Linked DNA regions of Lytechinus pictus. The protein of the gene in region 1 interacts with the protein of each later gene in a pairwise test. Links are inferred from orthologs where the notes say so. Each region holds a gene or a part of one and is shown on either strand. Other genes may lie near its edges.

Region 1 (16,897 bases):
ACTCCCCCTTCAAGCAGCAAAGAAAGTATTATGTAAGCCTAGTCATAATCATCAGTTAGAAGACCCAAACATCTTAATTCTACATTGTTTGACATCAACAGCCCCATGGGAAAATCTTGATGCTATTATGTAGAACACTACATCATGTACTACAGTATACAAGGTTACAGAACAGTTTGAACAGTTGTGGTGTGATTGCGTGAAGGATCGTAAACTAAAAATGTGTATTATTTGATAAATTTACTTTTCTTAAATTTTTTTTATTATATCAGATTTAAATTCTATCGCATGCCCGATCAAATAGAATATCTGAGAATTTTTGTCTTGTTTATTAAACATCTTCTCAACTTATGGGCTGAAAAGTCCAGGATAGTCTTTACACAAGCCTTTTAACGTCCAAGTTTGTGCTCAAACACCTCTTTTATAAAAAAAATAAACAAATTTCTGAGTGGGGGCGATAGATTTAAATTTAAATCCAATTGATCAGAAATAATGCCATAAATTCTTATGAGTAAAAAATGCATTCAATGACTACTACATGTATGTTTATGTAATACAAATGTTGATGATACTCAAGCATACTGTACATGTAAATGTACATGTATTTCACATTACTGACCCTATACTAAAGCTGTAGACAGAAAAATTGATTTTTATATTTAAACAAAATTTGTGTTGCTATCCTGGAGGGTTGACAGTCAAAGGGCTTAAAAGAAGTCAGAACACATTCAAGCCCCAAATCAGGCAAATGCTCTGTGTTTACATTTATGGTAAATGTTGATAAAAATAAAAAACGGGATTAAATGTGAAACTGCTTGCCATACCAATGTCAGTGTACATACTGGTCATTAAAGGGGAAGTTCACCCTGACGAAAACTTTGTTGTAAAATAGCAGGAAAAACAATATATTGGTGAAGGTTTGAGGAAAATACATGTAAATTAAAGAAAGTTATCATAATTTCAAGTTTTTGATTTGTAACATCATAAATGAGTAGTTGCCCCATATATTATGTAATATAAAATGCATAAATTCTATTTTTTAAATGGTTCATGATGACTTATTTTTTTATTTTCTTTTCAGCAGCAGGTGTGAAATGATTTGTGAATTGATAATGAAGGTACACTAAAACCATTTTCAATTTTCTGAGAAAATGACATTTCATAAATTTGTTACCATATGGTATGTAGAAAGCTGCTCACATCTATATGACGTCACAAATCAAATAATTAAAATTCTATAAAATATACATGCAACTTTTTTGTTCTTTTGGATTTTCCTTGAACCTTCGCCAATGGTTACTTTTCCTGCTATTTTTACAAAAAACTTTCTGTTAGAGTGATCTTCCCCTTTAAACGTGCAGGACTTTCACCCCCCCCCCCCCCCTCCTCACTAATAACAACTGGAGTATACTCACACAAAGCACTTTTCACACCACAATTCACCACTTGAGTTGACGATCCGCTGATCTTCTCTAAATACAGTGTTGCATCGCACACACGCGGATTTCAAAAGCGACATTTCCTTCCTGGAGAAAAGAGAAAGAAATAAAAATCAAATGCCAACAAAATACAGAGGGAGTGCGGCCAGAGAGGGATTTAGCCCCTGAGATGTACAAAATATGACAATTTGATCTGAGCTCATTTCATTAAAAAAAAATACTTTGTCAATTACATAATTATATAGGCCTAGTACATTACATCATATTCATAAGGCTCAGCACCCCAATAAATCAACCTCCATGGTATTTTAATGCTTCATACTGATTAGCAGAGTTTTGACCTTTTAATAGAGGAATACTAGGATAAAGCAACTGAGTTACACTTTTTACGTAGTTTTTGCTCTTTAAGGCTTAGGCCTTTAATAGCAAGTTGGATCAATTACAATGTATTTGTTTAGAAATACTGAAATACACTGTACCATGTTTTTTAAAGTCTCCTTTAATGATATCAGAATTTTTCATTGTAAATTAATGAATGAGTTAATAATAGCAACATTTGAACTACACTGTACATGTAACCTGGATAATAAACATAATTATATCCTACAAAAATTGAATCGTGTATGTATGCTGATTGGTTTGAATAGCATCATGTGACCAAACATATTCCCACTATTTTGAAATGTTGAAAATGAAATACCCACTGAAGAGAAATTACTACCAGTATTCCGTGACATCAATGATGGAATAGTGCACTATTCCATCATTGACATCACAGATCATTAATTGACACAGATTGCTCAGTCTCTCGGGCACAGGCTCAAATGCGTGTTCCACTGAGCACGTAGCTTCAGGACAAGTAGGTCAGTCAGCGCAGCGCGTTATCTATATTTTGGTTCAGACTAAAAAAAGGATGAACGTGTACAAGAACAAGATTATCAAGATCTGTTGTTCTAAATTATTGAATGTAGGATATAAAACAAATATACTGGTCTGGCCTTTATATCGAAAGTATAGAGGGAATTTTTCATCCTCGGTTGTACTGGCAAAATTACTATTTTTCCCTCAGGGCTTTGCCCCTCGTGAAAAATAGTAATGCCAGTCCAACCTCAGATAAATAATTCCTGCTTTACTTACTCAAAGCCTGGTGTGTTTGTACATGTAGGCTTGATACGAAAAAAAAAATGATATTTCATAATACATGTACATGAAGAATGATGATTAAGATGATGATGATGGTGGTGGTGGTGGTGGTGGTGATGCTAAGTAATGATGGTGGTGGTGATGCTACTGATGATGATGATGATGCTACTGATGATGGATGATGATTAAGATGATCATGATGGTGGTGGTGGTGGTGGTGATGCTACTGATGATGATGTTGATGATGCTGATGATGATGATGCTACTGATAATGATGATGATGATGATGATGATGAATAGATTATTTTCTATTTTTCACAGAAGGAAAACATGTACATGTATATGAACAACTCAGTGATATGCAAATGAGAGAGAGTCGATTACATGTATGTCCCTAACTCACTATTTATTTTGTTTGTTACCGTACTGTTTAAATTATAAAATATTTCATTTTTACAGATATGACAATAAGGACCAACTTAACTTAATCATAAACTATAAATAAGATACATGTAATGGTACTACCCCATGTACAGGGAGGAGCGAATAAAATTTTGTTTCACTTGACAATATGGGGGAAATTATAATTGTTCATATTTCATAATGGAATACAAAAGAAATCCTGCATTAAACTTTTTTGTAAAATTAAGTGAAACTTTAAAATGCCATAACTTTCTTTTTTTATCCGATTTCGATGAAATTCAGTTTTATGCTAGTTAGATTAGGCCCTAACGTTAGACCTATTCTCCTTATATTCAAATCAACTTTCTGTTGAGTGGACTTGTCCTTGAAGGTCAAGTCTACCCCAGAAAATTGTTGAGCACTTTGGATAAATGGAGAAAAATCAAACTAGCATAACGCTGAAAATTTCATCAAAATTGGATGTTAAATAAGTTTATATGACATTTTAAAGTTTTGCTTTTTTTTTTTTACAAAACAGTAATATGCACAACTCAGTGGCATTCAAATGAGACAGTCGATGATGTCCCTCACTCACTATTTCTTTGGTTTTTTATTGTTTGAATTATACAATATTTCATTTTTACCAGATATGACAATAAGGACCAACTTGACTGAACCATGTGATATAGTATTAAATAATGCTAATTCCACATGTTCAGAGAGGAATTAATCGTTGTTTCACTTGACAATGAGGAGAAAATTAGAATATTTCATATTTCATATAATAAAATACAAAATAAATAGTGAGTGGATGACGTCATCAGTCTCCTCATTTGCATACCGACCAGGATGCATGTGCATACATGTATACTGTTTCGTGAAAATTGAGCAAAACTGTAAAATGTCATAACTTTCTTATTTTACATCTGATTTTGATGAAATTTTCAGTGTTATGCTTGTTGGATTTTTTTTTCTTTTTATTCAAATCAACTTTTTGTTGGGGTGTACTTGTCCTTTAATAATGTGAAGTAACATGTATATTTACTACATGTATAATATAATAATGTAGATATCTTCGTGTACGACACTTAACACTTAGACTTAGATCTACATGTGTCTTAGTCTAGTTAACGTAGACAGTAACTTTATTAATAGTCTAGATGATTATTAATTATGGACAGCAACACAACCAAAAAGACAACACAAATTGTGACTGCCGCCTGCCCTATTTTTTAGTTCAGTTCTTATTAACCCCCCTACATCACATGTAATGTACCTATTACTAGTAAAGTAGTACCAGTACAGTCAGACCGCAGGTCCCTATGCTAATGAGCAAAAAGGCCAGATTCATCCAAATCATCTCGTGGCTGAATCCTCCTCCTTGCAAAATCTCGTGATTCGTGAGATTTTCTTTCTCTTAGAATTTACCTGTTTTAACCTCAAGTTAAATGAAATATTATTGCACCATCAGATAGAGTAAATGTTACTCTTTCATATTGGTCATTTATTTTGTATACAATATTTTGTTAAATAAGTAAATTTCTGGCCTGAAAATGTGCCTCAAAACTGAATTTTCTTCCTCTGTTTTCTTTTGCAAATTGTGCAAAACTTTTTATTTTGAGCCTCAATGATATCTATATCACCATAAAGCTGAACTTCTGTACTTTCTCACAATGCCACTCTTGATATGCGGCACCTTTTAATCGGATCAAGATCACACTTTTCCCACCAAGGTACAAGACGAGATTTCTGAAATTTTGTACATGCATGAAATCCAGAGTTCTGATTGGCTGGATAAGGTTCACAGAACAACAGGCGCGGGGTATTTGAGGAGATTACCACATGGGAAGTGTGACCTTCCCATGAACCCAGGCACTGGAACCGTTGGAATTTGCCAGTGTGTGGTCTCTTTGACCAATCAGAGTGCAGTATTCTTGTTTTCATGCTGCTTTATGTACTTGGCAAATGAAAAGTGTGATCTTGACCCGATTAAACCAATTCTTATTTTGAAACCTATGTCATTTTAAAGCATACATATTCAGCTTTATCATGATCTAAAAATCATTTGGGCTCAAACAAAAATAAGCAGCTTTTTTCATGTGAAAATAATTATTTTGTAGCATATTTTAGATCAAAATTTTAACCTACAGTATATTACAAAATCTTTGAATGAATTCAAACACATGACCTAAAACTAAAAGAATGATTCTTCTTCTTTACAATGATACCAAATTCATGAAATTCGATGCACAAGTAGAGCAGCAAAGACCGAATGAAAAGAGGTGTTTTGGTCCGCATCAAGCTCATTAAATATGCAAAACATCTCAAGTCATGAATATCAATTATCACTTGGATGAAAGAAGCCACTTTCTTGGGACCTGCCGTCTGACTGAGTAGTATAGTCACGTATTGTATTACCGGACACTATTATGTTTCCGGACGCGCGTATCACTGCGTTCTAAAACAAATTCGTACCGTAAGACTTCCGCAATTCAATTTCACAGAGCAATACATAGAACAAGATTGCAAAAACAAAGCAAAAAATCAAACTTTTACCTAATTATCTCTAAAAATTACAGAAAATGCTTAAAATATCATATAACATAGTTTTGTATTAACAATTGATATATTTTCTAACGGAAATATGGGCCTGATTTGCCGAATTTCAATCTCGTCCACTCCTTCGATCGAATGACGAGGTGTGGGGCATTGTGGGTGATCGTTGACGGCTAGTTCTCAAGGTACCCGTGCGCGAGGTTTACCGTGAGTAGAGCCGTCGATCGGCAGCGCATCGATAGAACTTGATGAGCGTCACGATACGAACGCGTGCATATTATTATTGGAAAGTGCCATGGAACATGCAGCTAACAAGACAAAAAGTTATCAAACACGAATTTATTACCAACATCTGCTCAGATTCGATATAAAAAAAGCAAATAATACTTAGAATTTACTCATGATATGATAAAAGAAGAAAAAAATCACAAAAATTTGTTCTTACATCATTATAATCAAGGATATCTTTACCCGTCCGGCGCGCGTCCGGAATCATGATGTAATTTGTCGCGCACAAAAATAATGGTTTTTCGTGGAGGGGTATGCGGCAAGTGCGATACGAAGAAATAGGTTGGTAAATATAAAATAATGTTATCATATTCATAATTTTCATAATATTTGGAAAAGCAAGCGTGAATTTTTCTTGATTGCATTTCCTCTAGTTGTCATTTTTAAAGCACTGAAAATATTAAAGGTGTCATGTCAGGCAATAATAATACTATTACTAGGCCCTATATACACTGCCATCACTAGTACTTTTAATTTTATACAAATAGTGAGTCCTAGTCCTACTACTACTAGTACTAGTACTAGTCCTAAAGGCTAAGAGTTACATGCCCTACATCATATGGGAATTTCTATTTGATCATTTACAATAATTGTAAAGAAAACGTCTAAAATACATGCTACCCAGCACTGTAATCAGATACCACTGCAGTAGACGTTTCTCAGCTAGCGGGTTTGACCTCTAACTCGCCGACGTGCTTAGGGGCAACTCCGGTATGCGAAGCATTCAGAATCCGCTGCATTCGCTAACTGCTTCTCCGTTGACTCATGCTGAGCGCGATAGAATTTCCATAAATAAATACAATTTCTGACTATAGGAACTGCTAATACATAGGAAATATACTGGAAATTGGTGGTTTAAAAGTATTCTAGCTCACAACATCAAAGGCTTTCAATAACAAGTATTAAGTTGATAGAAACACTCACGTTTTTGTCATCGGTGATCGATAAAATTTGCCAAAAAGCCACTCCTAAAAATATAATCCGCAGCTAGCGGAAGTCGACAACATCAACAGTGAAGTGTGCAAGAGGTTCGCTGATTCCTCTCTCAAGGGCTATGTCCTATGCATATTGCGATACTTGAGGATCAGCGAGAAACAGTAGTCACAGAATTAGGGCCCCGTCCCCACGGCCACACGATCGGCATGGGAGAGGGGCTATTGATTGATTAATTGATGGATGGATGGATGGGGGATGGATGGATGGATGGATGGATGGATGGATGGGTGGATGGATGGATTGACTGACGGATGGATGGGGGATGGATGGATGGGTGGATGGATGGATGCACTAGCGTACCTACGGGGGGGGGGGGGGGGCAGAGGGGGCAGACTGCCCCCCTGACGAGTCACAACCCATGCAAGGGACATATGCCTGCCCCCCCCCCTGACGAGTCTTGAAGACCTTTTTTTTTGCTTGTCAAATTTTTATCTGGTACAAAATCATTTATTTGTGGTTGAAGACCTTTTTTTTTTTTTTTTTTTTTTTTTTGCTTGTCAAATTTTTTTGGCGGACGAATTTGCCCCCCCCCCCCCCCTGTGGAAAATCCTAGGTACGCCAGCGCCACTGGATGGATGGATGGATGAATTTTACTTGGTAAGTCACCGGCCACAACATAATAACATTAAAGGCTTTCAAAGGAAGACCCACGAAAGCTCGAAAGCTTATTTCCAGTGGGGTCCTCGATCGATATGTAGGCCAAAATAGAATTGAAATAATAAAAGGTAAATTTATACTATTTACACACAAAAAGGAAATCACAATTCACTTTAAGCAATGAATAAGATATAGAGATGATATATACAAGAAAAATATATAAAGAAGAGAAGAAGAAGAAGAACGGAAGAAGAAGAAATTAAGAAGAAGAAGAAGAAGGAGGAGGAGGAGAAGAATTACGGAAGAAGAATTGAGGAGGAAAGGAAGAAAAAGAACACGTAGAACAACAACAATAACAACACGAAGAGGAGAATAGAAGGAAAAAAGATAAAAGAAAAATAAGGAAAAGAAAAAAGGACATACATATCTATAAAAAAAAATCAATCATATTTATGTAAAATAAAATTACCTGACAGAGGAGAAAAGATCACGGTCTGTATTCAGGTTGGTATAACATATCATTTGCATATTCTCTTAATTTGACTCTCAATGCTCAATGAAGATATGTATATTTAAAAAAATAAAAAAATCCCAATGAGATGATGATAATAATAATAAATACGTTTATTGAAAAAGAAAGTGGAGGCTGAAAAAAAATGGAGTACAAAATCATGTTTATAAAGCATTCAATTAATTGGTTTCTCAGGTTGGGGTTTTAAAGATACTGATAGTTAAAATTCATAATCACGAGATCCGGCAAAATAAAATAAAGAAAAAAAATATGAAAAAAGTAAATAATTGTATTTTTTCAGCCTCCACAACCTGTTGAGCCAAATCAACGATTTATCGGTCCGGAGGGGTTGTACAGATGAAGCCTTAATTGAAACTCGTGCCTATTTTCAATTATTTTTTGTGAAAGGGGGTACCCATTATTATTACGGATTTTCTTCCTAAAAGAGACCCATGTTGTGTTCTAGTCGTTTGTAATGGCATGTGTAACTTTAAAAAAAAAATTGTTTACTGACGGACGCAAAAATTGAAGTTTGTTGGAAAACTGGGAAAAAATGACTTAAATGGGTTAAATTTACGAAAAGACAAAATCATTTACAAGGTATGTTTAAAGGTCTAGTTCACCTAGGAAAAAACAAGTTAATTTGAAGAGAAAAATAAAAAAAGCATAACACTGAAAATTCCATCAAATGATCGGATATAAAATAAAAAAGTTATGACACTTTAAAGTTTCGCGTATATTTTTCACAAAACAGTTGTATAAATAACTCATTAAAATGCAAATGAGAGAGTCGATGATGTTCCTGACTCACTATTTCTTTTGTTTTTTATTGTTTAAAATAACTATTTAAATTTTTGCAGATTTGACAATAATGACCCTCTTGATAGGCCTACTATAGTTATAGAATCACAAAATGTTAATGATAATTACTCAGTCATGTTCAGGGAGGAATAAAACTTTGTTTCACATGACAACGAGAAGAAAATTAGAATATTTCATATTCCATGTAATGAAATACAAAAGAGTGGATGCCATCAGCCCGGGGTCATCAGTACCCTCATTTGCATGCCGACCAGTATGTGAATAACTATTACGTGAAATTAAGCAAAACTTAAAAATGTTATAACTTTCTTATTTTACATCCGAATTTGATGAAAATTTATTTGTTATACCTGTTTGATTTTTCTCTTTTTATTCAAACCATCTTTTTGTTGGGGTGGGCTTATCCTTTACAGATTTTCAAGCTCAAACTGATACCCCAATACAATACCCCATGTTTAAAGATTTTTCACTAAAAAAAATGACTTAATAGATCGATCGGGGTTCTCTCAGCGGAAGACTAGTGTGAGTTGATCGAAAGCTAATGATGGGCACTTGTCGTTCATTTCTACTAGCCTAGGCTATACTTTTCTCTAGAGACATTTTTAGTTATATGGGTAAATAGAGACGAGTTTGTGTCTACGACTTCTAATTTTCATACTATTCTCTCTTCTTCATTCATTTCTCTCCCCTTTTCTCCTCGGTATTTTTTCTCCTCTTCGGTACCTTACCCCTCCCCTATGCCTTTTATACGTCCTATACGTTTTATAAAAAAAAATCCATACGTTTTATAAAAAAATAAGCCTCTAATAATTTACCTTTTAATATCTGACACACACACAAAACAGTCTTTCAATGAAAAATCTACATTTTTTTCCGAAAACCCCCAAAATAAAAATTGAATTGAACGGTCGATGTTGAACCATGGCCATGGACCTTATTTGGCACAGCGCCATCTCTGTCGAATGAACCCAACGAAATTTAGTCGATTCGATGAAGATATCGCCATCACGCGGGTGTCTTGAAAAAAAAGAAGGGAAATAATGATGGGATTTATCGCTTCAATTCAACCTCCACAGTCATCAGTGAGGTGGCAGAAAGATGACACCATTGCTTTCGTGGAGAAACAAGACTTGTCTAAGGGGACATTATACATAGCTGAAAGGTAAAAAAAACTAAGTAATAAGGCGTGCGCGCTGCGCCGCGCCTGTCGGGCATGATCAGAGACTCCATTTAGACGAAACTCTAGCCGTCATGATCGGGGAAGAGTCGGCCTGGACCCGGTACAAATTGCGCTGGGATTTATTCCTGATCCTGCAGCAAGCGCCGCGCCCGACATGCATGCATGCAGCATGGCCTGGTCGTTCCGGATTATTTTTGCCAGGGGGTCGGCTAATGAGAGAGAATGAAGCTTGTGAAAGGCTGGATAATGGGCTCCAAATTCGGTAGGCCTACTGATGCATGTGGTCTGATACGATCGAGCGAAGTTCGTGCAGCCTGCAGTGCAGGCTCCACTTCACTACCGCTACTGGCGCTAGCTACAGTCACTAGTCACTACATGCATGTACGTCTACGCTCCACCAACCCGAAGTTCGTGCAGGCTCCACTCCACAGAGTCCACTACCGCTACACTACGCTCCACCAACCCGAACTTCGAGACCGTGAACTCGATCTGATATTCCGAGTGACAAAGGACATGAAAGGTGGGGTTTTATGGGGGGGAAATATAAAATTCATGCAACATCACGATATTTAATAAAAACAATAAAACTAATAATAATATTCTTACTTTACACTAAGTTTCACTTCTTTTCCATGCTTCTATCAGTCTCAAAATTGGTGATTTAGTTTAGAGCCAACATGAAGTTCCTCACACATAAATAATTCGCTGCCAATTTCAAAACATCGCATGCGGATGCGATACATTGTATGTGCGAGGTGCCGGGTCCGGTCCAAGCTCGGACCCTCGCGCATGCGATGTTTTGAAACCGGCAGCGAATTATTTATATGTGTGAGGATGTGAAGTGGAGTGGAGCCTGCATGAACTTCGCTCGAGGTAGGACTGATATAGACAGCTGGCAGCAGTCTGTTTCGCGGAGTTTTTTAACATTTTTAATTTTTTTTTAATTCTCGTACACAGACGGCTCGCGATCGTGCAGCCGCCATTAGGGGGTTAACAATGCAAAATCCAGCTGTGAAGCCTGTGATCCCTCCGATGCCGGGACTCATCGATTCTTGTCTTTATTTCATAAAAATATATAAAAAGAACTGGACTAAATTAAAGTACATGTATTCCGTTTTGGCCTGAAATGGCATGCACCAAAACGGGGAAAAATAAACTTCAAAAGGAAAAAACCAGTGACTTTGGCTGTCGCGCAACGCCATTTTCACTGGTTCATCCGAACTTCATACATAAACATACAGAGATCAAGTCCCTGTACAGATCGGGTTAGAACTTCGGTCTCTGTAATTGTCGAGTGGAGCCAACGGAGTTCAGCGGAACAACCAATAACAGAGACAGAAGCTTTTGGTCTAGGTCTGATACAGTTAATGTTGTAAATCGGATCAAAAATCAGATCGAAAATCGGATCGGCAGTTAAGCTTCTAAAATCGAAATCGAATCGAAAATCGAATCGGCGATGTTTAAAAACAAAGGAATAATGACATCAAAATGTTGTTCGCGGTCGCGCGCATCTTCCTGACAAAGTCACAAAGACGAATGCATTGGAATGGAAGTCGCCAACATGCGCGATCGTTTGGAACATGTTTTAAAGCCAGGGGTTTTGAGGTGTTATTGCTTTAAAATAAACCGAGTGATTTTTATTAGAAAGATAAACGAAAGACGCATCTTCCGAGCAAAGGCGCAAAGGAAAATAAAATGAAAATATTTCTCATAGATCAGAGGTTAATGAACGATCGGCGGGACATCTTTTAGAAGTATTTTTAGGTGCTAGCGATTTAGAATTATTGGAATGATCTCTTACGACGCATCATCTTAAAGTCGCAAGTGCAATTAAAATGAAGTAGAAGACGCAAGCACGCACGATGATTTGAAATGTTATTAAAATGTTTTGGGTAGCTAGCGTTTTCAAATCAATTTGAAGTTCACGGAGAAGATGTCTATCATCAAAAAAGGGGGTAAGAGAGTAGCGCAGTGAGCTCCGTCGGTAATACGACCTTTCAAAGTTCAAGGTAGTGCTGCAAGTCAGGCGCCATGTTCGGGTTCGGTTCGGTTCGGCAAGGTTCGGCAGAAAATTGCCGAACATTGGTTCGGTTCGGGGTTCGGTAATGATAGACTGATAAAAGTTATAGTTCATTCAGGTATACGTAGCGTTTCGGTAGACAATTTGTACTTGATTGACTGCATGTGCTCGCGTGTCCTCTGTCACATCAAACCATTTTATCTCTATCTTGCTGACATGAAACTATGAAAGTTATAGCGCTCAACGAATCAACTGTTATCTCGAATTTGATTATCTGATGACAGATTTATTGGGTAACTCACAGTTCTAAAATGGCGACTCTTCCTCGTCGTCCATACCTGGACCACGCTTTGGATACTTGCCAAATTAACTACGCTCGCACTCGTACCGGTACCAGTTAGGCCAGCGCATGCAGTCCCCTTGTAGCGGGACTCTGAGCTCATGAATATTTATATTTACAGTCCGGCCAAACGTGATTGGCCATTGCATCACATACGAGGCGGCCAGCGCCAGTGCACTGAACTGCAGGCATAGTAGGGCCAGGGGCGTGTCGAAGAAAGCGTGCTTATGTAATGCGCCTTTCGCTAATTGGCTCGATGGGTGAACTAAACCACCAATCGCATGTCGCTGATTGTCGCATTGGTACATACAGCCACGTGCTTTGTCACCCGCGAAACTCAGCTCACCGATTGAAAAGCAATTGCCGAGATTTCTATGATTTTATTGGTCAGATTTCATTCGACCATGAACATACAGACAAAGTGGGATGCAAAGTTTTACGACTGTAATGGGACAGGGGGAGTAGAGTGATCATCGAATTGTTTATGGTTAATTTGAGAAGTTGATAAGAAAGGGAAAAAAGTAAAGATTGGGGGTCATTTTCCCCCAAGAGATGACTGTTTCCGCTTTATCTTCATTCAACTTTTCAACGAGGGGAAGGGGATCTTGCTATATGCTATACCGTAATCATTCATGAGTGTTTGATTTTTATTTTCATCTGATTGTTAATAATAAAAAAGATAACTTCACCTCATCTCATTTCTATATTATTTGTTTTGCGTCTCTCCTTTCCATCTCTAACAGTCACTCACTTTATTTCCCACTTTCACTGGATCTCTCGTTTTCAAAACTCTTTACTTCTCTCTAGAATCATGAAAACTAGACAGTAGCGAGCCGACACCTCAATAATAATGTTAATCACCTCAATCAGATCTTTATTCTCCGCCGCAACAATACACGAGTTACGATCTTCATCACGTATCGTAATTCGTAATATTAATGGTACTTCATCTTTCACTTTCAGTTTATTGAGCTCGTTCATTCAAAATACTTTGAAGATTTTCAAACAAGAATCTTGTTCGCCACCTAAAAACAACAATATTTAAATAATTAGATTTAACCAATGAACACTCATACAGTTTTGGTTTTCTTTACCATGCTTCGGCGATTCGGCCACAGAGCGAGAGATGATGAAAGCCAGTAAAATGATTATAGCGCAAGCTCGCGCAACATCATTCATCGGATCTCCTTTCTTAATCAGGGCCGTAAAAACCACAATGTCAACATGAAAATGAAAACAAAATCTAGTAACCGCAAAATAAGCGCATACTTCCAACATACAATTGCAAAGAAGATTAGAGAATGCGCAAATATAATGATTAGAAAGGGTGTAAACTTACATGTATAAATTTATTAGCTGAAAGCCGTTTTTTTTTTTTTTTGCCGAACTTCCGAACCAAGTCTTAGTGTTCGGTTCGGTTCTGTTCGGTTCGGAAGTGCCATGTTCGGCGAACTACCGTTCGGTTCGGCGGTTCGGCTACAGCACTAGTTCAAGGCGGCATCCGCTATCACCACGAGATTAAAAATAAAATGTATATCATCATAAACGATGTAAGAGAGCAACGCAATAAGCTCCGTCAATAGTACAGTCTTTAAAAGTTTATGGCGGGGTCAGCTATCACCACGAGGTTGATAATATAAAATGAATATCATCATAAACGATGTAAGAGAGTAACGCAATGAGCTCCGTCAGTAGCACGATCTTTAAAAGTTCACGGCGGGGTCCGCTATCACCACGAGGTTGAAAATAAAATGTATATCATCATAAACGATGTAAGAGAGTAACGCAATAAGCTCCGTCAATAGTACAGTCTTTAAAAGTTTATGGCGGGGTCCGCTATCACCACGAGGTTGAAGAGAAGATTTATATCATTATAAACGGGGTTAGAGAGTAGCGCAGTGAGCTCCGTCGGTAATACGACCTTTCAAAGTTCACGGCGGGGTCCGCTATCACCACGAGGTTGAAAATAAAATGTATATCATCATAAACGGGGTTAGAGAGTAGCACAGTGAGCTCCGTCGGTAATACGACCTTTACAAAGTTCACGGCGGGGTCCGCTATCACCACGAGGTTGAAAATAAAATGTATATCATCATAAACGATGTAAGAGAGTAACGCAGTGAGCTCCGTCGGTAATACGACCTTTCAAAGTTCACGGCGGCATCCGCTATCACCACGAGGTTGAAAATAAAATGTATATCATCATAAACGATGTAAGAGAGTAACGCAATAAGCTCCGTCAATAGTACAGTCTTTAAAAGTTTATGGCGGGGTCCGCTATCACCACGAGGTTGAAGAGAAGATTTATATCATTATAAACGGGGTTAGAGAGTAGCGCAGTGAGCTTTGTCGGTAATACGACCTTTCAAAGTTCACGGCGGGGTCCGCTATCACCACGAGGTTGAAAATAAAATGTATATCATCATAAACGGGGTTAGAGAGTAGCGCAGTGAGCTCCGTCGGTAATACGACCTTTCAAAGTTCACGGCGGGGTCCGCTATCACCACGAGGTTGAAAATAAAATGTATATCATCATAAACGATGTAAGAGAGTAACGCAGTGAGCTCCGTCGGTAATACGACCTTTCAAAGTTCACGGCGGCATCCGCTATCACCACGAGGTTGAAAATAAAATGTATATCATCATAAACGATGTAAGAGAGTAACGCAATAAGCTCCGTCAATAGTACAGTCTTTAAAAGTTTATGGCGGGGTCCGCTATCACCACGAGGTTGAAGAGAAGATTTATATCATTATAAACGGGGTTAGAGAGTAGCGCAGTGAGCTCCGTCGGTAATACGACCTTTCAAAGTTCACGGCGGGGTCCGCTATCACCACGAGGTTGAAAATAAAATGTATATCATCATAAACGGGGTTAGAGAGTAGCGCAGTGAGCTCCGTCGGTAATACGACCTTTCAAAGTTGACGGCGGGGTCCGCTATCACCACGAGGTTGAAAATAAAATGCATATCATCATAAACGATGTAAGAGAGTAACGCAGTGAGCTCCGTCGGTAATACGACCTTTCAAAGTTCACGGCGGCATCCGCTATCACCACGAGGTTGAAAATAAAATGTATTTCATCATAAACGATGTAAGAGAGTAACGCAATAAGCTCCGTCAATAGTACAGTCTTTAAAAGTTTATGGCGGGGTCCGCTATCACCACGAGGTTGAAGAGAAGATTTATATCATTGTAAACTGGGTTAGAGAGTAGCGCAGTGAGCTCCATCGGTAATACGACCTTTCAAAGTTCACGGCGGCTTCCGCTATCACCACGAGGTTGAAAATAAAATGAATATCATCATAAACGATGTAAGAGAGCAACGCAATAAGCTCCGTCAATAGTACAGTCTTTAAAAGTTTATGGCGGGTCCGCTATCACCACGAGGTTGAAGAGAAGATTTATATCTTTATAAACGATGTAAGAGAGTAACGCAATGAGCTCCGTCAGTAGCACGATCTTTAAAAGTTCACGGCGGGGTCCGCTATCACCACGAGGTTGAAAATAAAATGTATATCATCATAAACGATGTAAGAGAGTAACGTAATAAGCTCCGTCAATAGTACAGTCTTTAAAAGTTTATGGCGGGGTCCGCTATCACCACGAGGTTGAAGAGAAGATTTATATCATTATAAACGGGGTTAGAGAGTAGCGCAGTGAGCTTTGTCGGTAATACGACCTTTCAAAGTTCACGGCGGGGTCCGCTATCACCACGAGGTTGAAAATAAAATGTATATCATCATAAACGGGGTTAGAGAGTAGCGCAGTGAGCTCCGTCGGTAATACGACCTTTCAAAGTTCACGGCGGGGTCCGCTATCACCACGAGGTTGAAAATAAAATGTATATCATCATAAACGATGTAAGAGAGTAACGCAGTGAGCTCCGTCGGTAATACGACCTTTCAAAGTTCACGGCGGCATCCGCTATCACCACGAGGTTGAAAATAAAATGTATATCATCATAAACGATGTAAGAGAGTAACGCAATAAGCTCCGTCAATAGTACAGTCTTTAAAAGTTTATGGCGGGGTCCGCTATCACCACGAGGTTGAAGAGAAGATTTATATCATTATAAACGGGGTTAGAGAGTAGCGCAGTGAGCTCCGTCGGTAATACGACCTTTCAAAGTTCACGGCGGGGTCCGCTATCACCACGAGGTTGAAAATAAAATGTATATCATCATAAACGGGGTTAGAGAGTAGCGCAGTGAGCTCCGTCGGTAATACGACCTTTCAAAGTTGACGGCGGGGTCCGCTATCACCACGAGGTTGAAAATAAAATGCATATCATCATAAACGATGTAAGAGAGTAACGCAGTGAGCTCCGTCGGTAATACGACCTTTCAAAGTTCACGGCGGCATCCGCTATCACCACGAGGTTGAAAATAAAATGTATTTCATCATAAACGATGTAAGAGAGTAACGCAATAAGCTCCGTCAATAGTACAGTCTTTAAAAGTTTATGGCGGGGTCCGCTATCACCACGAGGTTGAAGAGAAGATTTATATCATTGTAAACTGGGTTAGAGAGTAGCGCAGTGAGCTCCATCGGTAATACGACCTTTCAAAGTTCACGGCGGCTTCCGCTATCACCACGAGGTTG
Region 2 (16,632 bases), on another chromosome or scaffold:
TAAAAAAATAATATCACATTTACTCCATCTTTTCGTTTCCCTTCCCCCCCCCCCCCCCCGTGTCTAAGTTTATTCTTGGTGGTGGGACTTCTTCTTCTCTCTATCTCTCTTCTAAATTTTATATTTGTTTTGGGTCAGATTGACAAAACAAAGGGGAAAAAAATTACTTCTTTTTAATCATATATCGTTCAACATTGAATCTCATTTCTCTACAGTTTCAAGGAAATAAACAACGTATTTGTTTTTGTGTCAATATGGTTTCAAGAAATAATAATTAACAAAAAATAATTTAAAAATTAATAATTATTAATATTATCAATAAGTATTAATAATTAATGATTAATCATCTGTTTAATAAAAGTGGTTGTAAGCAGAAAAAAAAAATGAAAACTGACAAGAGTCCTAAAAATTACTCATTTTCAGTTTAAGCATTTGAAAATTTTAGCTTGCGCTTTGTGCTCTCTTGCCCCCCCCCCCAAAAAAAAAATATGCCCTTTTTAAAAAAGAAATACCTTTTTTAATAATAAAACATAATACATTTTAGGTTCGAAAATCACAGATTTTGAATCGTGCTTGCATCAATTATTGTTTAGTACAGTACTGCTAATGGTTACAAAAATGTATAGAATGTTGCTTTATGGTTGAAATATCACAAATATTTGGCTTGCTTCCTGCACTCGCATCAATTATTGTACTCGTTCTCTTCCCGTTCACAAAAAAATGCTTAGAATGTCCAGTTTTCAGGTTGGAATATCACAAATTTTTGAGCTCGCGCTTTGCGCTCGCATTATTTTTTATTGGTGAGTTATGTATCTTATTTAAAATGCAGTAATTAACTGCTTCCTTTACTGGTCAGTATATAAAAAGAATTAGCGAGCGCAAAGTTATTTTTTAGTTAGATACACATCTTTTTCATGATTACAAAACCAGCTCAGAATAAAATAATGTCCATGTCTTATTATTTATTTATTCATTTATTATTTATTTATTCATTTATTTCCGTTCAAACAAAAGATATAATCAAAGTAAAGTGTAAATACATGTTCAAAATAGTACATACAGTTCTATAACATTTCATAACAAATATTGAAGATAAAATTATCTGAACGGAGGGACTTGCCAAGAAAAGCAGAGCTTGTAAATAAGGCAAGTCCCTAAACATAGTTCTAATACTAATTAACATAACCTATATACAAGAGACGGGTGGAAAACAAAAATAAAATACATAATCTACAAAATACCAAAATAGAGCGTATAAGCGACAACAAAAAGTGGAAAGTAATTTGAATAATTGGAGTGATAACGATAATGATGATAAAATTTTTAATAGAAATTATAAGAGTGGAAAAGGGAGGCAAAGGAAAGAGAGGGGAGAAAAGGGTGGTGCAAATAAAACTGAAAATAAAAAGAGGAACATGACAGGTGCACAGGTCATAGGACACTGTAGTGACATTATTTAGAATATATATTAGACAAATTTGTTGATAATTAAATGATAGTTGTAAATACGTTTAGTTACAGTTATATATTAGCTTGACTTGTTGGTGTGGAGTATTGACAAATTAGCATCTTTTTAAGTTTGCGCTTGAAAATGTTAATGCTTGGTGATTCTTTAAAATCATTGGGCAGTGAATTCCAATACACTGGTCCAAAAAAGACGAAAGAGTTTTTTGCTAAAAGAGTACGGGTTGGGGGTAGATGATAACAATTACGTTGTCTCGTTGGGTAATCATGTATGGAGGAGTTTTTACAAAACATATTTGAAAAAAATGTGGGGAGATCATTTTTATTTAGTTTATACATAAATTGGGCGAGTTGGAAAAGATATAAATCATTCACTTTAAGAATATTATTTTGGAAAAAAAGGACATATGTGTGTGATCTGAAATGAGTTTGAAAAACATTTTGAAAAAGTCTGCCCCCCCCCCCTTTGGTACACTAGTAGTGGTTCCATGCTGATAGCGCGTAGATCAGAGTCTAGATCTAGAGACTAGACTAGAACTAAGATATTTATTTTAGATCTAGGACTGGTTCTGTATACGGACTAGACATATTAAACCATGGTAAATAAGCTAATATTAGTCCAAACCCAATCAAACGTAAAGTTCGGAATTAAGTTCGAAGTTAACCATGGCATTAGTCGGCTATTCCTATTAGTATTAGGCATTAGACAGGTCCAGATTTGAGGTAAAGTTAATGCGCTAGCCTAAGCTAGCCCTACCCTAGCACATGTCCCCGGGGGGGGGGGCACTCGACCAAAAAAGTGGTGGGGGTGTGCCGCGGGCGAGACAAAAAACGGGGGCCTTGGAGCGGGCTTATTGTAAAAAGGAGGGTCCTCGGAACGGGCTTCGGAACTACAAATGTTTGTGAAAACGGGGGTCCTTGGAACGGGTCGCCTGCGTGCGAGTGCGTATGTATCCCTATGGAACGTGCATGCAGCTGGGCTGCGGCACGACTGCCGGGCGCGCTAGCGCAGAGGCGATGGTCAGACGGCGAGCTGCGGCCGCTTTTCACCAAAATTGCGACCGGAACGGCGTAACGGAAAATATGCGAAGCCCTATATAGCTGGAGCGGATTTTTTTCTTCTTTTTTTCTCGAGAAGAAGAAAATGCTATGCTTTGGAGCGGCTTTCTTTGTTCTTTTTATAAATAAGACAAAAATGCTATGCCTCGGAACGGAAATTTGAGTGTAAAAGTGGGGGTCCCCCCGGGGGTCCCCTCCGCGGCACATACCCACTATGCATTATATACTGAGTGCCCCCCCCCCGGGCACATGTCTTGCCATTAATGGCAGCTAGTTTAATAAGTGTTTAAGAATTGGATGTATATATAGATCTAAGCCTATAAGGCCTATGTAACTATGTAAGGGTACCGGTAATTTGACGATGCTAATTCATTCTGAGCAACGTGAATGCTTACGATCGGCACTGGTCGAGGCCAAGTCCACGCGCATGCGTACTCTCAATCCGAAGACGCAAGTCATGAATATTCATATGTCGGTCCAGAACTCGGTGGGAAAAATAATTTCGCGGACGGGAGGGGGGTATCACTATGCCCTACATGTATTTCTACTAACTGCAACTAATCCCGGGGGATGAGGGGGATACACCCCCCCCCCACACACACACTTTTCGGAGAGGGGGAGGATGGCAATTAATCATCCCCCCCCTGCACGTACACTTTTCAAGGCAGAAACAATCATCAAATGATTAAAAATTAAGATATAAGATAAGATTTTATTAAACTATCGACCCCCGATCGGGATCAGTATGAAATTCTCGACAAAAACATATAAATAATGAATTTGCGTACACATTGAACATGCGTATAAAAATGAACATAAAATTATATATTTTACAATATGTCACAGGGGCCGCGGAACCGGGGGGCTGGGGGGGCTTCAGCCCCCCCCCCCCCCCACACTTTTTTTTCCAAAACCGTGTACAAAAACGTAAAAATGACCATATGATTGTGATTTTTAGCATGGTCAGCCCCCCACTTTTGGCTCAGCTCCCCCCCCCCACTTTGAAAACCGTTCCGTGGCCCCTGTACAGTCATAGGCCCTAAAAATGAACATATTTACAATGATGAATACAAATGTTTGCATAAATTAAGTACCGCATGATGTTGCATGCAATAGCTAGGCTATACACCCGGGGCTATATACAACAACAAACAACAAAACCCACTATAAACTATTATTGTCGTGTTTAGCACAACATTGTAAAACGCACTGGCCCATATTCTGAAGTCGGGTTTAACTTAAACTCGGGTTTATAGTTGTGGTTTTAAGTATGGATATAGCCAAGTGTTACATTCATACCGAGGTTTTTTTTACCTGACTGCTAAGAAAGCACGAATGCCTGTGTGCAAGCTAGCAACCAGGGGACCAACGACTTAAGGTCCTCTCCGAGGGACCTGGTAATGAGGATAAATGCCTTACCAAAGGGCACTATAGCGCACCACTTGGGAATCAGTCGAACCGCTCTACCGACTGAGCTATCGCGCCTCATAAATCACTAACAGTATAGAGATATCAAATTTAAGCTCACTTGGCTTTCAAATCATTCATAATTGTCTAGGAAGTATAAATAGCTTGTCTTCACCATCGATGAATCAGGAAAGAGCACAGTAAACATAAGAAACATACAACTTAATAAAAAAAAATGACACTTTTGGCTTCCCATAACTTTAGCACAGATCGAGTTAGACCATGGCAGTGGCGGATCCATCAGGGGGGCACAGGGGGCGCACGCCCCCCTAATATTTGAGCGGCGCCGAAGTCGCCGCTTAAAAAAATTATACACTGATATAATATTAGCAACAGTAAAGGAAAGACTATCCCCCAGCAAAGACTTAACCCCTTTTTCAACATTATGGCGCCGGTGAAGTGCAAATGAAATATGTGCGCCGCTCGGCAGTACGCCCCCCCCCCCTTTCGCCAAAAGCTGGATCCGCCTATGCATGGTCTAAGTTAAACCTGACTTCAGAATACGGGCCACTGTGTTTAACCATCCTACATGCACTGCTAATAGTTACATTCACTCTGGTAACTGTATAATAGCCTTTATCAATTACTATATTGTAATGAATTTTACAAGTTTTTTTTTTAATATGGCACCTTTTACAATCTACCCATTTGGCAATATTTGGTAAGCACACATCAGGGTCCTATAGAATATTCTTTGGTTATGTATACATGTACATCTATCTTTCTTTACTAAAGAAAGAACACACAAAATGGAACGCATCTCCAACTTCCTTCAGAGAGCATATAATCATTCACTGATTCTAGAATCGGTTATTGATGGGTACACCTTTTAGACCTGCATCTGAATGACACAATGTGGTTGCATCAGTGTCACTTAAAATTAGGAAATATTACTCAAAACCCCATTTTCCCCCGTCATCTTTTGAACAACTTAAATATACGATTTGACCATCAGTTGGTACATGTTAATAGAGGCCCATGCACCCTGACGTGTTAAAATTACACCCTAGAGATTGAACATAACACCAAAGAGTGTAAATGTAACCAGCAAAGGTGTATTAATAACACCTATAGACACTGTAGACACTGTCAATTTAACACTGGTTTAAAAATTATTGTGGTCCTCTATATGTACACCGGTTAAAACCAGTTTTTGCTGTGGACATAATTTTTTTAACGCAACTTCGAGAGTTTTAGGAACCAATCAGTCCCAATTCTCTTCCCGGATCACTTGTGATAAAAATATTAACCAGAATTACACCTGCTTTCTGAAGTATTCAGTGCAACTCATCCATTTTTACGTGAACTGCATATTATAGTTGTTAATGTGTGGATTCATTTATAAAAGCGGTATAATCCCCATGCATGATTAGCTAAATTGCAAGTGTTGTTAGCTAAATTGAAAGTCCCCTCCTACGGTCCTGCATCATGAGAGTATATCAAGAAAGTTACTTTCAGGGGCGACGATCCTGGGGGCGGCCCCCAAACTTTTTGAAGCACTGAAAATGTGCCCTTTTCACGCAAGAAAAATACCCCCTCACGATCGTGTACTGTGCCCTTTTTATCGGAAGAGGACCCGTTTGGGTGTTACCAAGTGCCATTTCGTATAAGTGCCATTTTCCCCAAAAAAATGCCCCCTCACAAACTTGTTCTGTGCCACCTTCATCTGAGAAGGACCTGTTTTATGTTTGAGCAAATTCTCCCTTCTTGTAAGTGCCCTTATCGTATCAGTGCCCCTTTTTACCCAAGACTAAAATTGCGCCCCTCGGGAACATGTCCTGTGCCCCTTTAACCTGAGGAGGACCCGTTTTATGCCGTTAGCAAGTGCCGGCCCCTTTTCCTTCTTATTATATAGGTGCCCTTTCTCATATCAGTGCCCCTTTTTACCTAAGAAAAGTGCCCCCACGAACATGTTCTGTGCCCCTTTCACATGAGAAGGACCTTTTATATGTGTTAACGAGTGCCCCTTTGCCTTCTCATAGGTGTCTGTTCTTCACTCAGATATAGATAATTTCCGTGCCCGATGAGCGCCCGTTTTCTTATGGTGCCGTTCTGCTTCCTTCTGCAAGTGCATAATGAATGAAAAAACTTGTAGAATTAATCCTACGTGCCTTAAAGGGATGCTCCGGGATGAAGATGTTTATAGAGTAAAATTCTTAAAGCAAAGTGCTGAAAATTTGATCCATAACAAATAATTTGCATTATTCCGGTGAAACAGTTTTAAGCATGTCTTCATGAATATTCATTAGGTGGGCTGATGATGTCACATCCCCACTTGTTCTTTTGTATTTTATCATATGAAATTAGGTTAATTCAAAATTTCTCTACCAAGAACTAAAACAATTATTGGATTGACATCTGATTAAGTGCATTAGTTACCCGGGGAAGGGGGGGGGGGGGCAGTCAAATGTATTGCTGTATACACACGCATGGCCAAATTATTTCCAAACACACCCTAAACGAGTTTTTCTCTGTGTGCAAAATAATCCCCTAAAAAAGTTTTTCGTTTCACGCGTGCATGTCATGTGTACAGCAATATATTTCATTGCCCCCCCCCCCGGATTAGTTATTTCTTGCTGCACCTTTTTCGTGTTATTTCGTAATAATGGAGGCACGTCATTTACACATGTTATGAAAAATTAAACAATTATGATTTCATGTAATACCATAAGAAAAAAGAAAGTGGGGATGTGACATCATCAGCCCATCTAATGAATATTCATGAAGACATGCCTAGAACTGTTTCATATCGGAATAATGCAAATATTTAAAATTCATTGATTTTTTGCTATTGATTTTTTCCACTGAAAGTTTATGCTTGCTGCCCTTCCCCCCCAGCGAAAAATTTCTGCATACGGCCATGTTAAAGATAGTACCCTTTTCGAAAGAAAAGGTGCCCTTTTCCCCTGTGCCCCCCCCCCCCCGCTTTCAACTTCACTCCGCTGCCCCTGGTTAGTTTAATGACTCGCAAAAAGGTCAGAATTATTTACAGAATGATAAATTGTGTACCTCAATTTATGCTAATAATGTTTTATAATGATTTTCTCCAGATTTTGAGCTAAAATAATATGGACCTCATGGAAGAACAGTATTTGTCATAATTATGTTGACAAAACTGAATATGGGCTAGGCCTATCCATCGATCCGTTTGTAAACGGAAAATAAATACTCTACCTCATACCGGCTATAGATTATTTGTCATTCTCAGAAGATTTTTATTAGGGCAATCAACTTGAGCAAATTCGATCAGAACAACTTCCAATCCTGTTCATTTTATCTTATAAACCTCAACAGTCCTTAAAATATCACATTTTCAGTTCAGTGGGCTCTTACACTTTTGTATACGTTACTTCATATACGAGCAGCTGTTATATATGTCGTGTAATATAAAATGAATAATTTCTTTTTTAAAATGTTTGATGATGACTATATTTTTTTTTCTTTAAGGAGCGAATAAATAATTTGTCCATCTGTTGATATACTGAAGGTACAATAAAATCATTTCAATTTGTTTGTTTTTTCTTATGGGGAAGCTGCTCGCGCATCACAATTCAAAAAATTAAATTCTAATAACTTTTTAAATATTTGATGGATTTTCCTCAAACCTTCACCAATTAATATCTTTTTATTATTTTTCTGCTATTTTTACATAAACCTTTTGCCAGGCTATATTCGGTGGTTGGGGCACTGAAAGTTATAAGCCTATATACGACCAAGAAAAAATAAGAAAAATAAGAAACAGAAAGAAAATGAAATAAAAAATTGAAATGATTATGATACCATTTCAGGATCTATGAAAAAAAATGCAAAGACATCACGCACTCATTATATCCCGGTTTATTTATCTATTCAATTATTTAATTTACACAGCCGGGTAGTCTCTTCAGTATATTTATATTCAAAATCAGCTTTGACTTAACATTTTAAGCTCTTCAATTCAAGGAGCTTGTCGATTGGGAAATAAAATGGATGTACAGTACACCACCACGATTCCCGCCCCACCCCCACCCCCATATGCTGAACTTAACCCCGCCCCAATTCCCTACACTGCAAGAATTCACTTCCGGTTTGACAGCTACACCCTTCTACTCACACCAGACTTGAGCCAAATATTACTCTTTTTATAATTATCACTGGAAATTAATCCTCGAAAATGTCTAAATCTGTCAAAAAACAGGTTGATGATGCAAGAGAAAACAGGCACCAGGATCTCGATTTGTCGGATAAGAGCATTTCAAAACTGCAGGACATTCCAGGACTGTGTAAGTATTTTTCTCCGGTCCCATTCATTAATATTGGTGTAGGCCTAGGCATAACACGGTCTTACATGATGTAATTTGGAAATGCTTCTGATGAGTGAAAACAAATAATACAAATCAATTTTTAAACTGTGATGAAATGGCATTTTGTGGGATTTATATCATAATAACATGGTAGATCTGCTCGCATATCTGTAACATAAAAAAATAAACTAGAATTAAAAAACTTCACTTCTTTTGACAGTTTCTTTTAAGTTTGGCTTTGGCTTTGCTGAGTCATGAGATGAGTGATACATATGTATGTTCTGCTTGTATTTTGCTGCTGCGAATACAATTTTAACATGATGTGAGTGTACAGTAATAATGCCCTCTGCATCTAGCCTAGCTCCAGATGAAGTCAAACCAAAATGTACAAATTTATTTACATTTGTCTAAGTCCTAAAACTTTCATGTTCACTGTCGAAAAAAATGTGTAAATTTTCCAACTAGTAAAAATAAGGAAGTTCACCCGAAAAATCCTGAATACTAAAAATATTGTGGTAATGAATTTCAGAATTTAGTCACTGTAGAGTTTTATTGGCATTCCTTAAGAGGGGTTAGATGTCAAATGTGTGTTAATGAATGATCTTTATCTTCAATATTTTCTTTCAGTTTCGCTCAGTAATCTTGTGAGGCTGACTTTGAGCCACAATAAGATTGATGGTAAGTTCTATAATTTTTTAATTGCTCCTCTCTTTCTCTCAATTTCGAGATCTGTCACTTTCTTTACCTATTTTTCTCTGTCTCTCTAAATGGGCTGTCCCACAAGGTTATATCATGTCCCACAAGGTTATATCATAACCTTGTTCATAGAATGAGTGGTCACACCCTAAGATTTAGCAAGCATACGTTAGTGTATGTATGGCAAGCTGTTTTAATGTTTGAAGTTTTAATCCTATTCCATTTCTTGATATATATTGAAGTAATACTATTATTGATATCGAGAATAAATTTCTGGTATATATTTTTGTAATGTTAACAAATGGCAATTCATCTTATCAAGAGTGAAATTATTTATATCAAGCAATAGCTAATTTGAAAAAAGCTTGTTATAGATTACTGTACATTGATGTGTACTTCCTTTGCATATGATTATTAAATCTTAAACCACCCTTTTCTTGAGGAACTTATTCTAGAGTAAGAGTATATTGCGGAAAAGGAAGAGCAGATCAGTTACAAAAAAGTGTACTACCGATTTCCTGTGACTTTATAGTTTTCAGGGGAAGTGGTTTTTGTAAGCTTAGAAAACATTCTACTTTTCTTCCCCTTCAGTTTGCTGCCTTCCAATTCCATTTCTAATAAGCATTTGATTTAGAATAGGCCTTGTTATTCATGCAAGCCAAAGGTCGGCTATATTATGTTTGAAGTTTGAAAAATACTTCTGTCTGGTTTGGTCTGGTCATTCCTATCTCCTGTTTTGTAAATTGAACATGCAATGTTAAAAGAGGGAAATTTGTAGATGGTGATCTATTTATCTCTGTGTAGATACCTCAACATTACAGTGCATGTAACAAATACTAGTAATAATCTGCCAATTTTCAAGGGTTGGTTCAAAGCTGATTGAATCAGACTTTAAATTTACTTGAATATGAAAGAGCAACTCTTCTACTTTAAACTGATATTAAAATTTACTTGTAAGAATTCAAACCTTTTGCAAGACTTTGCAAGTAAGAAAAAGATGAAGCTTTGACTGATACCTCAATGATAAAGTACTCTACTTTTGAATTGTGGTTATTTTAACCCTAAAAGGACTGGGGGCCATGATGCCCCCCCCTCAACGCTTTACGCAACATTTCCAAAACGCAAAAAGATAGCGCCGCAAAATTTTATGACTTTTTTCTTTAAAGTCTTGCGCAACTTTTGAGACCAAATTCGCCACATACAGGTATAGCATCGTGGCGTCACGTGACTTTTTACGAGACAATGTCATGCCGAAAATGACTCATTTTTATACTTTGTGTACAAAGTCTATGGGAGATGAAATTCATAAAAGGGTGATTATTTTTCGTTCTAATTTGGTCTGCTTAACCCTTTAGCACCTGAACCGCCCGAGACCGCCCTTCCTATTACACACTGAACCGCCCTTAACCGCCCGTACGTTTTCTTTGCGCTATAGTATCTCTTACCGTGGTAATATTGCGTGTGCATACCGTATAGGTTGGCTGCTACATAGATCTGCATAGAAAAGTGTATGCTTCTATTGAGTATAATAGAGAAAAACCGATTGACATGCATCGGTGTGTAGCAAGTTCCAGACTTGCGCAGTCGATCTCAGCAAAGATGGCTGCGTCTATGTCTCGGAAAACCACTTACTTCGCCGAAGAAGCTCGGGTGTTGCTATATGTTCATCAAAACGTTGAATATCACACAGAGTGACATCTAGATGTGAGTTGGAATTAATTTTTGACATATTTGATCCAAGGTTTGGCGAAAACTTTAGTATTCTGTCAGTGATACTTTACATTTTTTTTAAGGCGTGGGACTGGGGCGGCTGAAACCCGAACTTTTGTTTTTTTTCTTCTCGCTCTGCAAATGATTGTCAAAGGTCAATATTCATACATCTGATTGAACTTTGCCATGTACCATTCTATTCAACAGGTCCTATGCTACAAAATAAATATAACTTGTAATGAACAAAAGTAAATTTATAAAAAACTATTTCAATTTGTTTGGAACAATGCCTACTTATTACCAGTTTTATTGTTTCCTCCAGTGAGTAATTGCCATTATGCATAGGAATCTGTAGGTGCTATAGGGTTAATTAATTTAGTTGTTAAATGGTCTGTAATAATTTCCATTAAAAAAACAATGAAAAACAAAAGATGAAAAAACAAAGAAATACATGAATTCTAAAAACAAAGAAATACATTATAAGGAAAAATTGGCTTTCGCAACTTTTCTCTGTGGAAACCTTTAAATAATTATTTTCAGAATTTTTTTATACTAGCTTGTAGTTTAAGTGGTAAAGAATGTTCTTGCCAAATTTCGGCGCGATCGCGCGAACGACAGCCGGGATCAAAAGGGGGGCCATCATGCCCCCCCCCCCCCCCGTCCTCAATACATCTCAAATAGCCCAGTCCTTTTGGGGTTAAGTAGCTCTATATGCTACAAGTGTTATTTATTTGATGCAAGCCTAACGTCAGTGTAGAATTCTTTCTCCAGCACCCAACTATTAATTATAGTCACCATTTACTTTGCACAAATATAACAGTATATATCTATATAAAATCTTGAAGTTGTGAAATATAATTAATATGCGTGTATATTTATTTTGTATCTAGTTGTTCCACCACATATAGTAGAGCTGACAAATCTGGAATCCCTCAATCTATTCAACAACCACATAGAGGAGCTACCTACAAATATAAGCTCGATGCAAAATCTCAAAATCTTAAATGTTGGGTAAGTCTCTTAAATTGTAACTTATATTTCTTATTGGCTGTTGCAAGAAACTTATATTCAATTGCAAATCAGGCATAAGTCCCTTAATCAAGAGTAAGATCATTTTGTAAGAAAGTTTAGTTGCAATTGAAGTATTTAATGCAAAATCAACAACAAATTTTCTTTTAGATTATAGGAATTGAACTTGATTTTTGGACTTACACTTAATTTCGAATTGAACATAAGTTTCTTGCAGAGCCCCATAAGATTTAGTTTTCGTCATGTTGACAAACTTTACAAATTTATACAGTCATTGAAACCTTTTCCCCCATTAAGGTAGTCTAGATCTGGACATTAGGAGTTATTTGTTAGGACTCACTCACCTTTCACCAATACATTAGTCCTCTCTCTTTTCACCTTCTAGTAGGAGAAGGTGAGAAGAGAGAAGACTGATGTATTGGTGCAGGTGAGTGAGTCTTAACAAATAATGTCCATATGTAGACTACCATTAAGGTGGCATTGTCATTTCAATTTAATTTCAATTTGTATGAATTACTTTCTCAATTTTATATCATCTATTTTGCCACATAAGATCAAAGTACAAGGATTTTAAGCTAAAATAAATTACAATGTTTTTACCGGCTTTCAGTATGCCCAAGTCGGGGGTTCAAAGACAATGGCATCATGATCTGTCCGAAGCAATCACATTCTGGTGACATTTTTCCCATTCAAGTACATGTACATTTCATGCTGACAAAAGATCTTAATAAGTAAAACTTTAGGGATTCTTTTTTTTACTTTAGCTTTCTCACAATGGCTTGCTAAGTTTATTTGGATGGCCGACCTTGGGAGATCAAACTAAATTAACATGAATAAAATGTTATTGAGACAACATTGGCAGAGACATTCACAATAAATCTATTGACAAAATGGAGAATATCCATCCAAAATAGATCCATGGCAGTTGACACATGTATGATTCCTTCTGTGCGAGCATGTCATGGTATAAATCTCATCTTTTAATCAGAGGGTCGTGGGTTTGAATCCCAGCCATGGCGTGTTATCCTTCAGCATGGAGTATACCCATATTGTGCTGCACTCAACCCAGGTGAGGTGAATGGGTACCTGGCACAGTGTTATCCTTGAATGCACTTAGCAGTGGAATGGCAGCTCCAGCTAAAGTCGGGGTAATAGTGTACCTGGGATTAGATAATAGATGCACGTAGCTGGTGGTATAGAAATGCCTATTATTATTGTTATTATTATTTATTGATTTCAGCATGAACAGATTGTACAGCTTACCTAGAGGCTTTGGATCATTTCCCAAACTAGAAATACTGGATCTCACATACAACAACCTCAATGAGAATAGCTTGCCTGGAAATTTCTTCTTATTGGGTAAGTTATACAATTTATATACCTCCTTTCTGTTTCTCTTTTATTTTCCTTCCTTTTATTCTAATTGTTCTAATTCTTCCATTTATATTTCAAGCATTCTTTCCATTATTCTTCCTAAACATATAGGGAAGAGTGAGAGGCACATTTCCAAAACTAAATGTAACGGAGAAGAAAAGTGAAGGAAAAAAATAAGAAGACAAGCTGAATGAGCTAGAAAGCAATTCAAATTGGATAAATTAGTAATATCCCAGATACGGAAAAGTTTTGCTTCTTTCTCATGTGTTTCAACATACATGATGAATTTTTCCCCTCAGAATGTTCATTTACAGGAGTTTAATTCCTTTTATGTATTGCCTATGTGCACATACCGGTATTCATATTTTGTCTTTGATGTAAGTTTACTGGCTCTGTCTGAAATGACACTTGCAAGAAAATAAGAACAATTTTCATACACAACTACCCTGGGAGTAACCACATGACAACTTTTGATATCCACTAAATAACAATTGCCAATTTAGTAAATTCACAAGGAAAGGGATTCCACTTTTCAAACCATAATTTATCTAAAATTCCTGCCGTCACTCTTGGTGAGTGTTTCATAAAGCTGTTTGTAAGTAATGAATGACTTTACACAAATTGGTGACTATTTAGCTGAATTTGCACCTAAGAACTTGTTGCAGTCGTGCGTAAAGTTAAGTGTAACTTTACAGCTTTATGATTTTTTTCCTTTTATTTCATACCAATAAACTCATTATTCTGGTTTGATTTGCATTTTATTATTCAACATTGTATGAATATATCTTTCTATAATAGACACACTGCGAGCACTGTATCTCAGCGACAATGACTTTGAAGTGCTTCCTGAAGAAATTGAACAGCTGAGCAAATTAGAAGTGGTGAGTAACAAACTAATACTTTAAAAAAGATATATTTCACCTCATTATTTATTTACTTTAAAAATATGTATTTGAAGTACAATCAATTCTAGTAAATCATTAACAAAATGTTAAAGAAGAAAAAAAATAAAAACTTGTCAGATGAGCTTGAAAAATGTCATGAAATGTTTCGTATTATTGAAAGGAAGTATCTGTCTGAGTGTCTAGACTTTTTTGGGGGGGAGGCTGGGGGTAATCATCATGGTGCATCTCAAGGATATATTATATTTAGAGAGATGGCACATTTTAAATACCTAGTAGTGGTGGTGTGATCAGGTGGGTGTTTCATAAAGCTGTTTGTAAGTTAAGAGCGACTTTAAGAAAGACTGGTGATCCTTTCTTGTGTTAAATGGTATATTCATTGGCGATGGTTTAGCCCGTAAGAAAGGATCACCAGTCATTCTTAAAGTCGCTCTTAACTTACAAACGGCTTTATGAAACGGCCCCCAGAAGCAACAAAATAAAGACAGTTCAGTTAGGCAGTAATGTCAAATAGAGGTCCTCATCTTTGGAGTACTATTCCAAACCACCTTAAGAATCAACTTTCTGTTAATAGCTTTAAACGTTCCTTTCGATTATTTTTATTAAACTTGCACTCAGTAACTTAATATTATACATGTATGTTCACCACCACGACTTTGACTTTTTCGTTTTTGTCCCCCCCCCCCCCTCTTACTATCACATATTTATTTTAGGGTCAACGCTCAACAAGTCAAATTGCTCTTTTTTGTTGACCCCTCATTCAACATAAATTGTTTTCTTTGTTTTTCTCTTATGTTAAGTTATTATCTTAAATGCTATATTCTATAACCATGTAAATATGTTCATCATTTTTTTACTTGTATCTTGTATATGTGTTTTTATGAAGAATGAAATAAGATAAATTAAATTCAATTCAATTGAAATAAATTATAAAGCACTCCTGATTCATTATGCCTCCTCCCACCTTTGATGGTTGGTGGGGATGTAATTTATTGGGTCTTTCATTCGTCCACCTGTCTCACAATGACTAATGAGCCATTGGACTGATCAATACCAAACTTGGCTCATGTGTGAGTGAGGATGATATGGGATATCAAACTTAACATTATAAATTACCAAACCTTCAAAATAAACTTTTTTTAGAGAGAGAATAACAAGCATTAGGTTGATTGTTCAGTTCAGTAGACAGTATACAATCCCTTAGCTTTATATTACATGAAGGTATGTCTCTTAATCATGTCACATGTCTTTTGCATTTTAGCTTTGTGTAAGAGACAATGACCTGATCTCCCTCCCTAAAGCCATTGGAAATCTGCCGAAATTGAGAGAGCTTCATATTCAAAGCAACAGAATCACAGTTCTGCCCCATGAACTGGGTAAGTCACTCATATAGCTTACATTGGCCAGATCTGGGGGTGTTTCATGAAAGTTGTCAGCACTGACTAAATTGTCAGTGCTGACTATTTCAGTGAAATCCTTGGTTTTTATTGGCTGAGAAGCTCTGGCCACTGACTGTTACTATGGTAACTGTCAGAGAAAGACATCTTGTCAGTGCAGGGTTGTTTGATTTCAATCATGTCAATTTAAATCATGATTTAAATCACGATTTAAATCACTTGATTTTTTTCAAAAAAATCACTGATTTAAATCAACTTTTATAAAAAAAATTAGTTTTCTCTATTTTCTCTTCTTCTTAACAGATACTTTCAATGTAATCATTTTCATTTCTGTTCCACATGCTTTAGAGATACTTTAAAAGAATGATACACCCTCATGGAGTCTGATTTAACACCACTGTTTTATTTTCAAATTGTAAAACAAGCAAAACTGATGAAAACAACAAGTTTCTAACGAAGTAATGATAAATAACTCTCTGTATGACACCAAACTGTTAAATCTTCAATAAAATAATATATAAAATCTACAAAGGTGCTCAAAGTCCACAACTTGGATACTTTTACAAAACAGCTGAACTACTTGTATGTACCTCCTTCTTGTTACTATTAATACCCATTCTTTCAATTACTTAAGTTGAAGGCATATGTGTACATTTGATAAGAATTACATGTATATTTGCGTGCCTTTAATAATGTCAATTTTGTTGGAAATTCTCAAAAATTCACAAAATCTCATCTCTCAGCTACAAAGAATACAGAACACTGCTGCTAGAATTGTCAATAAAGTCCCTCGAAAACAGGATATATCCAAATCACTCAAGCAACTGCACTGGCTACCAGTAGAGAAGTGTATTATCTTCAAAATCCTCGTCATAACATTCAAGAGCATCCAAGGAAAGTCCCCCTCATACATCGCGAGCATGATCAACACCTACCAACCCTCCCGATCACTTCGGTCATCCAACAAGAACCTTTTAGTTGTTCCCAGTGCAACCTCCCACACCCATGGCGACAGAGCCTTTTCAATTGTGGCTCCTACACTCTGGAACTCACTTCCTTTTAGCTTAAGATCCCATTCTTCTCTAAGTTCCTTTAAAGTAGCACTTAAGACATATCTCTTCCGTAAATAGTATGATTTTTAAAGTTAATATGCCCGTAGTTAAGCTAGTATTTTAGATATGTAAGGTAGTTACGTTGGATGTTTAGTTATGTAAGGTAGTTAAGTTGATAAGTAAGTTTAGTTTATTAAGT

The links.
Region 2: the proteins of LIM and senescent cell antigen-like-containing domain protein 1 (region 1) and ras suppressor protein 1-like interact in a two-hybrid assay, tested with the Drosophila melanogaster proteins (3 studies listed by BioGRID). The link is inferred for Lytechinus pictus from reciprocal best matches to the Drosophila melanogaster genes stck and ics.

Annotation. Positions count from the first base shown.
Region 1 is NC_087260.1:17,719,153-17,736,049, forward strand, and holds the start of LIM and senescent cell antigen-like-containing domain protein 1, read right to left. Parts: upstream 6,956-16,897; 5' UTR 6,764-6,955; coding exon 6,753-6,763; intron 1,527-6,752; coding exon 1,416-1,526; intron 1-1,415. Other genes in the region: methylosome subunit pICln-like, read left to right, coding at 9,795-9,916.
Region 2 is NC_087247.1:32,133,411-32,150,042, reverse strand, and holds the start of ras suppressor protein 1-like, read left to right. Parts: upstream 1-8,032; 5' UTR 8,033-8,143; coding exon 8,144-8,252; intron 8,253-8,900; coding exon 8,901-8,951; intron 8,952-11,569; coding exon 11,570-11,690; intron 11,691-12,948; coding exon 12,949-13,067; intron 13,068-13,880; coding exon 13,881-13,963; intron 13,964-15,245; coding exon 15,246-15,360; intron 15,361-16,632.